Cricetulus griseus: one gene and its partner. The main gene of each other region encodes a partner of the protein of the gene in region 2 in a complex. Links are inferred from orthologs where the notes say so. Each region holds a gene or a part of one and is shown on either strand. Other genes may lie near its edges.

Region 1 (3,745 bases), on a different chromosome or scaffold from region 2:
AGCCATGGAAGGCCTTGAACTCCTGACCTCCATGCCTCCACCTCTGAAATGCTGGGATTACAGGCGGCCTGTCTACTGTAATTCCTTCAAAAGGAAAATTCAAAGATTCATCACAGATATACACTGACACATTGACAGAGTAAGGGATGCAGGACTGAAATTAAAAGAAACAAACAAACCCACTGCAGATGTCTAGGGTCTAGATGAGGGGCAGAGCGTGCACACAGGTGCTCACAAACTAAGCACAAGCCGTCTGTGCCCTAGCACCTGAACACAACAACAGAAACTTCACAGGAAGAAGAACTAGAGGAAAATAGATAAAACAGACATGACAAAATGCTAAGTTCTGAAGTTGGGTGAGGAATCTTTCTTTTTTTCCCCCTATAGATATTTTTCCTGAGAGTGGAAGACTCTTTAGGGTTTTATACACTTTCTAATTTGGGGCAGTTGAGGCAAAAGACTTGTCAAATTCAAGGTATGCCTGGACTGCAGAGTGAGTTCAAGGCCAACCTGGGCAAATTAGAAATTAGTAAGCCCTTGTCTCAAAACTAAAAGTTAAAAAAAAAAAGCTAGTTTTATACCCAAGAAAAGCAGTGTATAGTACTTATTTACCTGTCATTTGAAAGGCCCTAGGTTCAGATAATTTACTAAGATTTATTATGAATTTTATTACAGGCTTTCATAAATGACACTTTATTTTTCCTCTAAGAAGCCTCTCCCAACTTATAAAAAATAGAAATATATAGATACACATTGAGAATTCTATGCCTCAACACAACATCAGTCAGGTCAAATCACAGTGTTGCGGTTGAGGTCAGGGCAGCAGGAGCCCCTCCTACCCCCACCTCCCACTACATGTCCAACAGGCGTTGGCTTCAGACAGTGACAATGGTACAGAAGTGTGGGAACTAGAAGGAGCAGGAAGAGCAAGGTGTGGCAGCTCCTATCTGACCTTGGGACTGGGTTTCAGATGATGGGCCATGAGCTGCGAAGTATATCACAAAGTCTCACAATCCAGTCGTGTCGGTCTTGTTCTGACCTGGAAGTTCTGAGTCACTATGAAAATACTCCTGTTTGGTTCAGGGCCCAGAAATCTCACTTTCTCACCACTTCGTGTCCTTTCATCAATTCCAGACTGAGCTTTTTTTCCTCCAGGCAAAAGGACCAAAGACTCCAGAGTAGAGCGAGGAAGGTGCTGGGAGCCAGGTCTCACACCTTAATCGCAGCATGCGGCAGGAAGACCACTGAGCCTGGGATACACAGTGAGCTCTGGGATAGCCTGGGCTATAGACCAAGATCCTTTCTCAAAAACACACATGGTGTCGGGTGACAGAGTGAAAAAGCAGCAGCCACCAAGGTGGAGTATGGAGAGAAATATTAAACACAGGCTCAGAGTTCCAATCCAAGGAAGGACTTAGCCACTTCATGTCAATTTCCACATGTCCATCCATTCTTCCTGGGATTTGGTTTTCCAACACCACTTTCCAAAACCAGGCAAGGACAGCAACTTGCACAGTGTGTTCCTTGAGGCATGTTACATGATTAGTGGGGAAAGTGAAGGATGGCGTCTTCTTCCCGGGAGGTGCAGGTGGACGGGGCAGACTCGCTTCTTGACATGTCTGGTCTCAGCAGGACCCTCTCAGCCCACTTCCTCTGGTGTAGACTGTGGCATTCCACCATCAGCTGTATTTCTCAGCTAAGCCTAGCCCTCAAAACAAGCCCACCCCCACCTGCTAAGTCCTCTTCCTGGTGCTTAAAGTCCATGGCTCCTCTATCAGTCCCAGGAGAACTAACCACACCCCAGGCTCTGGTCAGACCATCATTCCCAGAAGACACATGTTCCAAAGGGGATGACCCCCACTGTGGCCAGCTTTAATGAAATGCTGGTCAGAGATTCAAGGCTACTCTGATGGCCACTGTCATCTTCATTAAGACATGCACTTCTAGCTGCTGCCAGCACCAGATCAAAGCTGCAGTGTGGGCCTGTTTCTAGCACAATGAGGGTTACACAGTCACTTTCCAACAGCTCCGCAGGGATCTTGGAGCCCAGGTGCAGAGAGAAGTGAGATGAGGCTCTGGGCTGGTAAATCAATGCCATGATTCTTGTGAGTCAATGCAGGGGATCCAGGTGGCCTGGAAGATATACTTGGCAGTCTTCCTGGCAGGGCTCAAAGCAGTGGACCCTTTTTTTCCTGCCACTTTCCCTGGCCCTCCAGGTTTCAAAGGAATCAAGTCCTGTGATTAATCAATGAAGTTGTCAGCAGCCCCTGGCCTGTTTGCAAAACAGGATGTCTTCAGAGAAGGCTGCTACTAAAATGATATGGCCTGGGCAAGGGCAAAAGGATGTCACCTTCTTCTTCCCTCTGATTTCACGCCCCCAGGAAAGCGGCGTCCTCTCCCTTACAGGGCAGTTTCCATCTCAGCTCAAGAGAGGGACCTGGAAAGGAGAAGAACCAGAGAGCCTACCAGGGGGCCTCTTGCTCTCCTGGGAGGGAGCAGCTCTAGGGCTGGCAGGGTGGTCTTGGCTGCAGGACACAGGCACTGAAGTGCAGCAAGTACATATGGGAGCCAAGGAGGAGAGGCAGAGGAAGATGACTTCCTCTTGCCCAAGTAATGCATGCCAAGCTTGCACCCACTGGTGAGCCTGTTCCTGCCAAGAACCAACAAGCAGCTGGGGCAGGCCTGGACCCCAGCCTCCAACTCACTTCTTCCTGCGGATCTTGGGCTTCTTCACAGGGCGCAGGTAGGGGTTATCAATGACATTCTCCTCCCCGTTCCGGCTCCCAGACAAGGAGGAGTTCTGCTGCAGTACAGAAGCGTTCTCCTTCTCAGCTCCAGAGTCACCCTTTGAGTAAAAGCCGAAATAAAGCAGAGCGCCAGTGGTGTGAGGAGACACTGCCCACAGCCACAGCCGCCAGTGGTGTGAAGAGAGAGACTGCACTGTCACAGCCACGGCCACCAGTGGTGTGAAGAGAGAGAGACTGCACTGCCACAGCCACAGCCGCCAGTGGTGTGAAGAGACTGCACTGCCCACAGCCACAAGTGGTCTCTTTATTGAGAAAGGAGAAGATGGAGCCACTGTCTTTCCAGGGTCACCATCTCATCCGCAGACTCAATGAGACCTGGGGAGTAATTAGCTCTAAAGGGAGCTTTGACAAAGTGAAAGACTCCAGGGTCCTTAGTCTCTTCAGAAGGTGGGGGGCGTGAAGTTGGAGTGAGGGTTAGAATTTATATGCTTCAGGGAGGAAGCCTAACGCAACAGGGTGACAAAAGGAAGTGGCCATGGGTATTGTGGAGTAAGAGACACAGGGTCAGAACCAATCAGGGAACAGAATAGGTCTCTTCTAGGCCCAAACTAGTGTAAGTCCTAACACATTTATCCAAAATCTCTCATTTCTTGCACTTAGAACAAGGACAAATAACCATATTCCAGCATATTCCAGAACTTCTGGAATTCTGAAGTGAAGCCCAGCAAGGCAAAGCAGAGTCTGCAGATACCACACGTACATATTGTCAATGCCTGTCACCTGTCAATCGGGCGCTTTATTAATTTTTAGCAAAGTTTGATTTTGGACCATATATATATATATATAATTTAAATTTAGAAAGTGTCCTGGATGCATGGGTAATTGACTTTCCTTTCCTTATTAATGTTTATACTCTCCTTTATTTTCCATATATATATTTTTTTTTGGTTTTTCGAGACAGGGTTTCTCTGTGTAGCTTTGGAGCCTATCCTGGCACT
Region 2 (4,214 bases):
AAGGTTTAGTAAATGCAGAAATTCAAAGAATGCAGAAATAAGGTTAGGGTTGGGCTGTGGTGGTGCACACCTTTAATCCCAGCACTCTGGTCTCTGTAAATTCGAGGACAGCCTGGTCTACAAGAACTACTTCCAGGGCAGCCTCCAAAGCCAGAGAAACCCTGTCTTGAAAAAACAAAACAAAACAAAAAAAAAAAAAAAAAAAAAGGAAAAAAAAAAAAAGAAAAAGGTTAGGGCTGGAGCTGGTTTAATGGTGCAGAGGACCCGGGGTTTAATCTCAGCAGTCACTTGGTGGCTCACAATCATCTGTAACTTCAGTTCCAAGGCTTCAGATAATCTCTTCTGATTCCTTTGTGTACCAGGCATGCACAATATATATATATATATTATATAAAGCCAAAACCCTGACACTCACAAATTAAATCCAAAAAAAAGAAAGAAAAAGCATTCAGTGCTTTGGATGAGACCGATAGTACGAGGATGTTAAGATAAAAGACTGGGGACGGATCGGTGAAGCTCTTCGCAATTCCTGTGGACGTTCATAGCTGAGATGTCTTCTATACACGTGTGTGTGGGGTCTCCATTTTATTGGGAACCCTGTCAGATGCTGAAACCGCGTGCGTGTTGCTTACATACCTCGTATATTTGGAATAGGGTTCTTTTTAACCCAAAGCATCTAGTGGATTAAAAAGAACCTCAAAGCTCAGAGCTTAACGGTTACAGGACCAACCCAGGCTTTGGAGTGAATTCTCCCTGCGTCTCTTGGGTGGAATCTTGGTAAACTTCGCACAGGTGTCCTCCGCGGTTACACGCCGTACTGCCAGTGGGGGCTTAAGCAGTTCCTCCCAGAGAGCTCTCGCTCAGCTATTTTAAACTACCATTTAACGGGCCCAAGCAGCCTCTCTGGTCCCCGAGTTAGTTCTCGCGCCGCCAGCTCCCCTGTGGGGAATCGCTGTCCCATCCTCAGAGCCACACAAAGGCACCGACCAAAAATGGCGACTCGGGGGCCACCCGAGGCCGTCGGTTACCGGTCGCAGCACTCAGAGACACGATCCGGTAACAAACACCTAGGGCAGGGGCCCACGCCGAGGTGGGAGACGCAGCGCTCGCCCACGCCAGCCGCACGCAGCGGAGAGCACGAGCGGCGAGCGAAGCCCACGGCCAGCCTCACCGCTCAACCACGTGTCGGAGCGAAGTCTGCGCCTGCGCGAGGCGGGCGCGCGCCCGGCGGCCGGAAGAGCCGCGCGTTTCCGGGTTGGAGGCGGGGAGCGGTGCCGGAAGTGCTTGGGGAGGGCCGCGCAGTCGGACCGGCTGCTGAGACGAAAGCTTCACTGGGGCAGTCTCCGCATATCATGGGGAGATAGACGCTGCTGCCTGTGAGTCTTGGGCCCTGGCAGTGGAGGACGAAGAGCGGGAGGAGGGCGTCAGGACCCAGACCCACAGAGGGGCAGTGCTGAGGAACTAGGTTGTGGAGGAGAGACGGGGCTGTGAGGAGCCAGGCTCTTGGGACGCGACTTGAAGGGTTCGGGCTCGCAGGAGCAGCGGCTGTTGGGGACTCGGGCTCCGAACGAGAGAGACTTAGGGGACGAGGACGTGTGTGAGTTCTGCAGCATCTGAGGGAAAGCCGTCTGAGAGGGACTGGATGGTGAGGACCGGTACTTTTTAGGAGGCGAGGGTAGGAACGAAACGGGGCGTGAAGACACGGGCTCCAGAGAGGTAAAAGTGGAGCGGCGAGAGGACTCGGGCTCCTAAGAGACAGAAGCGGGACAGCCAAGTCCCCGCTCCCGAGGATTCAGAAACCGGGCAGCAAAGACTTAGGGAGCGGAGAGACAGAAGCGAGCAGAGAAGACTTGAATTTGGGAGGGAATAGAAACGGGCAGTGAGGACTGGGTCTTCTTTTGGGACGGAATCGGGGCTTTCTTCAGACTCAAGTGTTCCTGAAGGGACAGGGCTGTGAGGACCGAGCTCTTAAAAGTGGAGGATCTAAGGGATCGTGGCTGGTAGATCAGCCTCTAAGGGAAAGAGGTTTGAAAAGATTGAGCAATCTGTTCTCTGTACCCAAAGGGATGAAAGATATATTCGGGGAAAGACTTCTTGTCGCTGCCTATCTGGCTTTTTGCAGTTAGACTTTTCTCTGTCAGATACTCAAATCTAGAAAACCCTCATGAGACATCTTCGTTTTTCTTCTTCATTATTGTGAATCGGATATGAAGTTGGAAGCAGTTTGACCCGTTATATGCTTGATAAGTGCTTTAAGCCCCATTTCATTCAGCCCTTTTGAGTACAGATCTCTGAACCCACAAACTGTCACAGATGGAAGGGCATCAAAAGATCACTTTGAATACTTTTACATTTAAGGAAAGGAGGGTCCAAAGAAGGGTTAGGGTCTCGGTGAGCCAATTCTCAGGTTATTCAGTACTCTTCCATGTGCAGCAAATACCCTCAGACTCAGAAGGGGCATTTGTACAGATTTTAATACTTGGGTTACTATTATAACATTGACATGGATACAGTAAATGTCACAAGTGAGGAAGCAAACCTTTAAGTGAAATCCATTTTATTTTTCAATAAGCTGTTGAGAAAGTCACAAGTAAACGTGGCCTATATTTTTAGCAGGAACATTTGCTAGGGATTGCTTTTAGAAGTGTGACTTGGACCAGCCATTTCCCTTCGTAATATTCATGACTGAAACCTCAGGTGAATCAAGCACAACTTGAGCACTTTCTTTTTGGGGGAGGGGGCGGTGAGACAGGGTTTCTCTGTGGCTTTGAAGCCTATCCTAGAACTAGCTCTTGTAGACCAGGCTGGTCTCAAACTCACAAAGATTCTCCTGCCTCTGCCTCCCGAGTGCTGGATTAAAGGTGTGCGCCACCACCGTCAGTCCGGCAAACTGAGCACTTTTTGTTTAGTTTTTGAGACAGGGTTTCTCTGTGGAGCTCTGGCTGTCCTGGCACTCGATCTGTAGACCAGGGTGGCCTCGAATTCAGAGATCTGCCTGCCTCTGCCTCCCAAGTACTGGGATTAAAGGTGTGTGCCACCACAGATAGCAATTTAAGCACTTTCAAGTATTCCATCACTTCATTATCACAGCTTCACAGTTAAGTATTGTAAGTTTAAGTATGTTCAAAGAGATTAAGAACTTTGTTGCATGAGCCGGGCGTTGGTGGCGCATGCCTTTAATCCCAGCACTAGGGAGGCAGAGGCAGTCGGATCTCTGAGTTCGAGGCCGGCCTGGTCTACAGAGTGAGTTCCAGGACAGGCTCCAAAGCTACACAGAGAATCCCTGTCTAGGAAGGAAGGAAGGAAGAAAGTTGTCTTAAATGTCATAATACTGAGTGCTTTAGCCCCAGATGTGACCCTAAAACTTTTTTGAACTTTTCTAAGTGAATTCCTGTCCTTGTCGACGGGCGGAGGTGGTGCATGCCTTTAATCCCAGCACTCGGGAGACAGAGGCAGGAGAATCTCTGTGAGTTCGAAACCAGCCTGGTCTACAAGAGCTAGTTCCACGACAGCCTCCAAAGCCACAGGGAAACCCTGTCTCGAAAAACCAAAAGAAAAAAAAAAATATTCCCCTCCTTGTCTATGTTGCTTGTCAACAAAATAGAAAGAAAGGTCATACAAAGCCTGCCATTGAATAGATAACATCCCTCTCCTCCTTTGCCCTGCTCCTCCTTTCCCAACCATTTAGCTCCCCCCACCCTGGAAATTGCTAGGTAGACCAGATTGGCCTCAAACTCTAGGTCCACCTGCTTTTGCCTCTGGAGTGATGGGAATTAAAGGCTGCACCACCCGTCACACCCAGCCTCCTCATCTCCTTCTTAACTCCCTTTAATGTCAAAGACTTCACTACTTCTGTAGTGTAGTATTTGAGATCTGATTCCTGCATTTTTACAGAAGCATAGGCATTCAAGGTAAAAAGGAAAAAGGAACATTTATAGACTCTTAGGCTCTTTCCTTACAATAGAGTAAGATATCTGTAATCAGATTAACTTTCCAGTTAACTGCTAACATGCACTGGATGTTGTGGACACTAGGTGTCATGGTGCTTGCCTGAAATCCCATTATTTGGAAGAGGGAGGCAGGAATTTCAGAAGTTCAAGTCAACATGAGCCTATTTCTGAAAAAAAAAAAAAAAAGAAAAGAAAAAGTCAGGTGAGATGGTTCTTCTGGTAAAGATGATTGATTGCCACCAAGACTGATGACCCCTGAGTCCT

What was found. The genes of interacting proteins can lie anywhere in the genome.
Region 1: Taf12 (region 2) and Taf8 share a complex: the UniProt entries of both Homo sapiens proteins name them as parts of the TFIID basal transcription factor complex. The link is inferred for Cricetulus griseus from reciprocal best matches to the Homo sapiens genes TAF12 and TAF8.

Annotation. Positions count from the first base shown.
Region 1 is NW_023276806.1:256,843,471-256,847,215, forward strand, and holds the end of Taf8 (transcription initiation factor TFIID subunit 8), read right to left. Parts: intron 2,846-3,745; coding exon 2,706-2,845; intron 2,438-2,705; coding exon 2,425-2,437; 3' UTR 641-2,424; downstream 1-640. UniProt on the Homo sapiens protein: The TFIID basal transcription factor complex plays a major role in the initiation of RNA polymerase II (Pol II)-dependent transcription.
Region 2 is NC_048595.1:20,972,241-20,976,454, reverse strand, and holds the start of Taf12 (transcription initiation factor TFIID subunit 12), read left to right. Parts: upstream 1-1,408; 5' UTR 1,409-1,642; coding exon 1,643-1,645; intron 1,646-4,214. UniProt on the Homo sapiens protein: The TFIID basal transcription factor complex plays a major role in the initiation of RNA polymerase II (Pol II)-dependent transcription.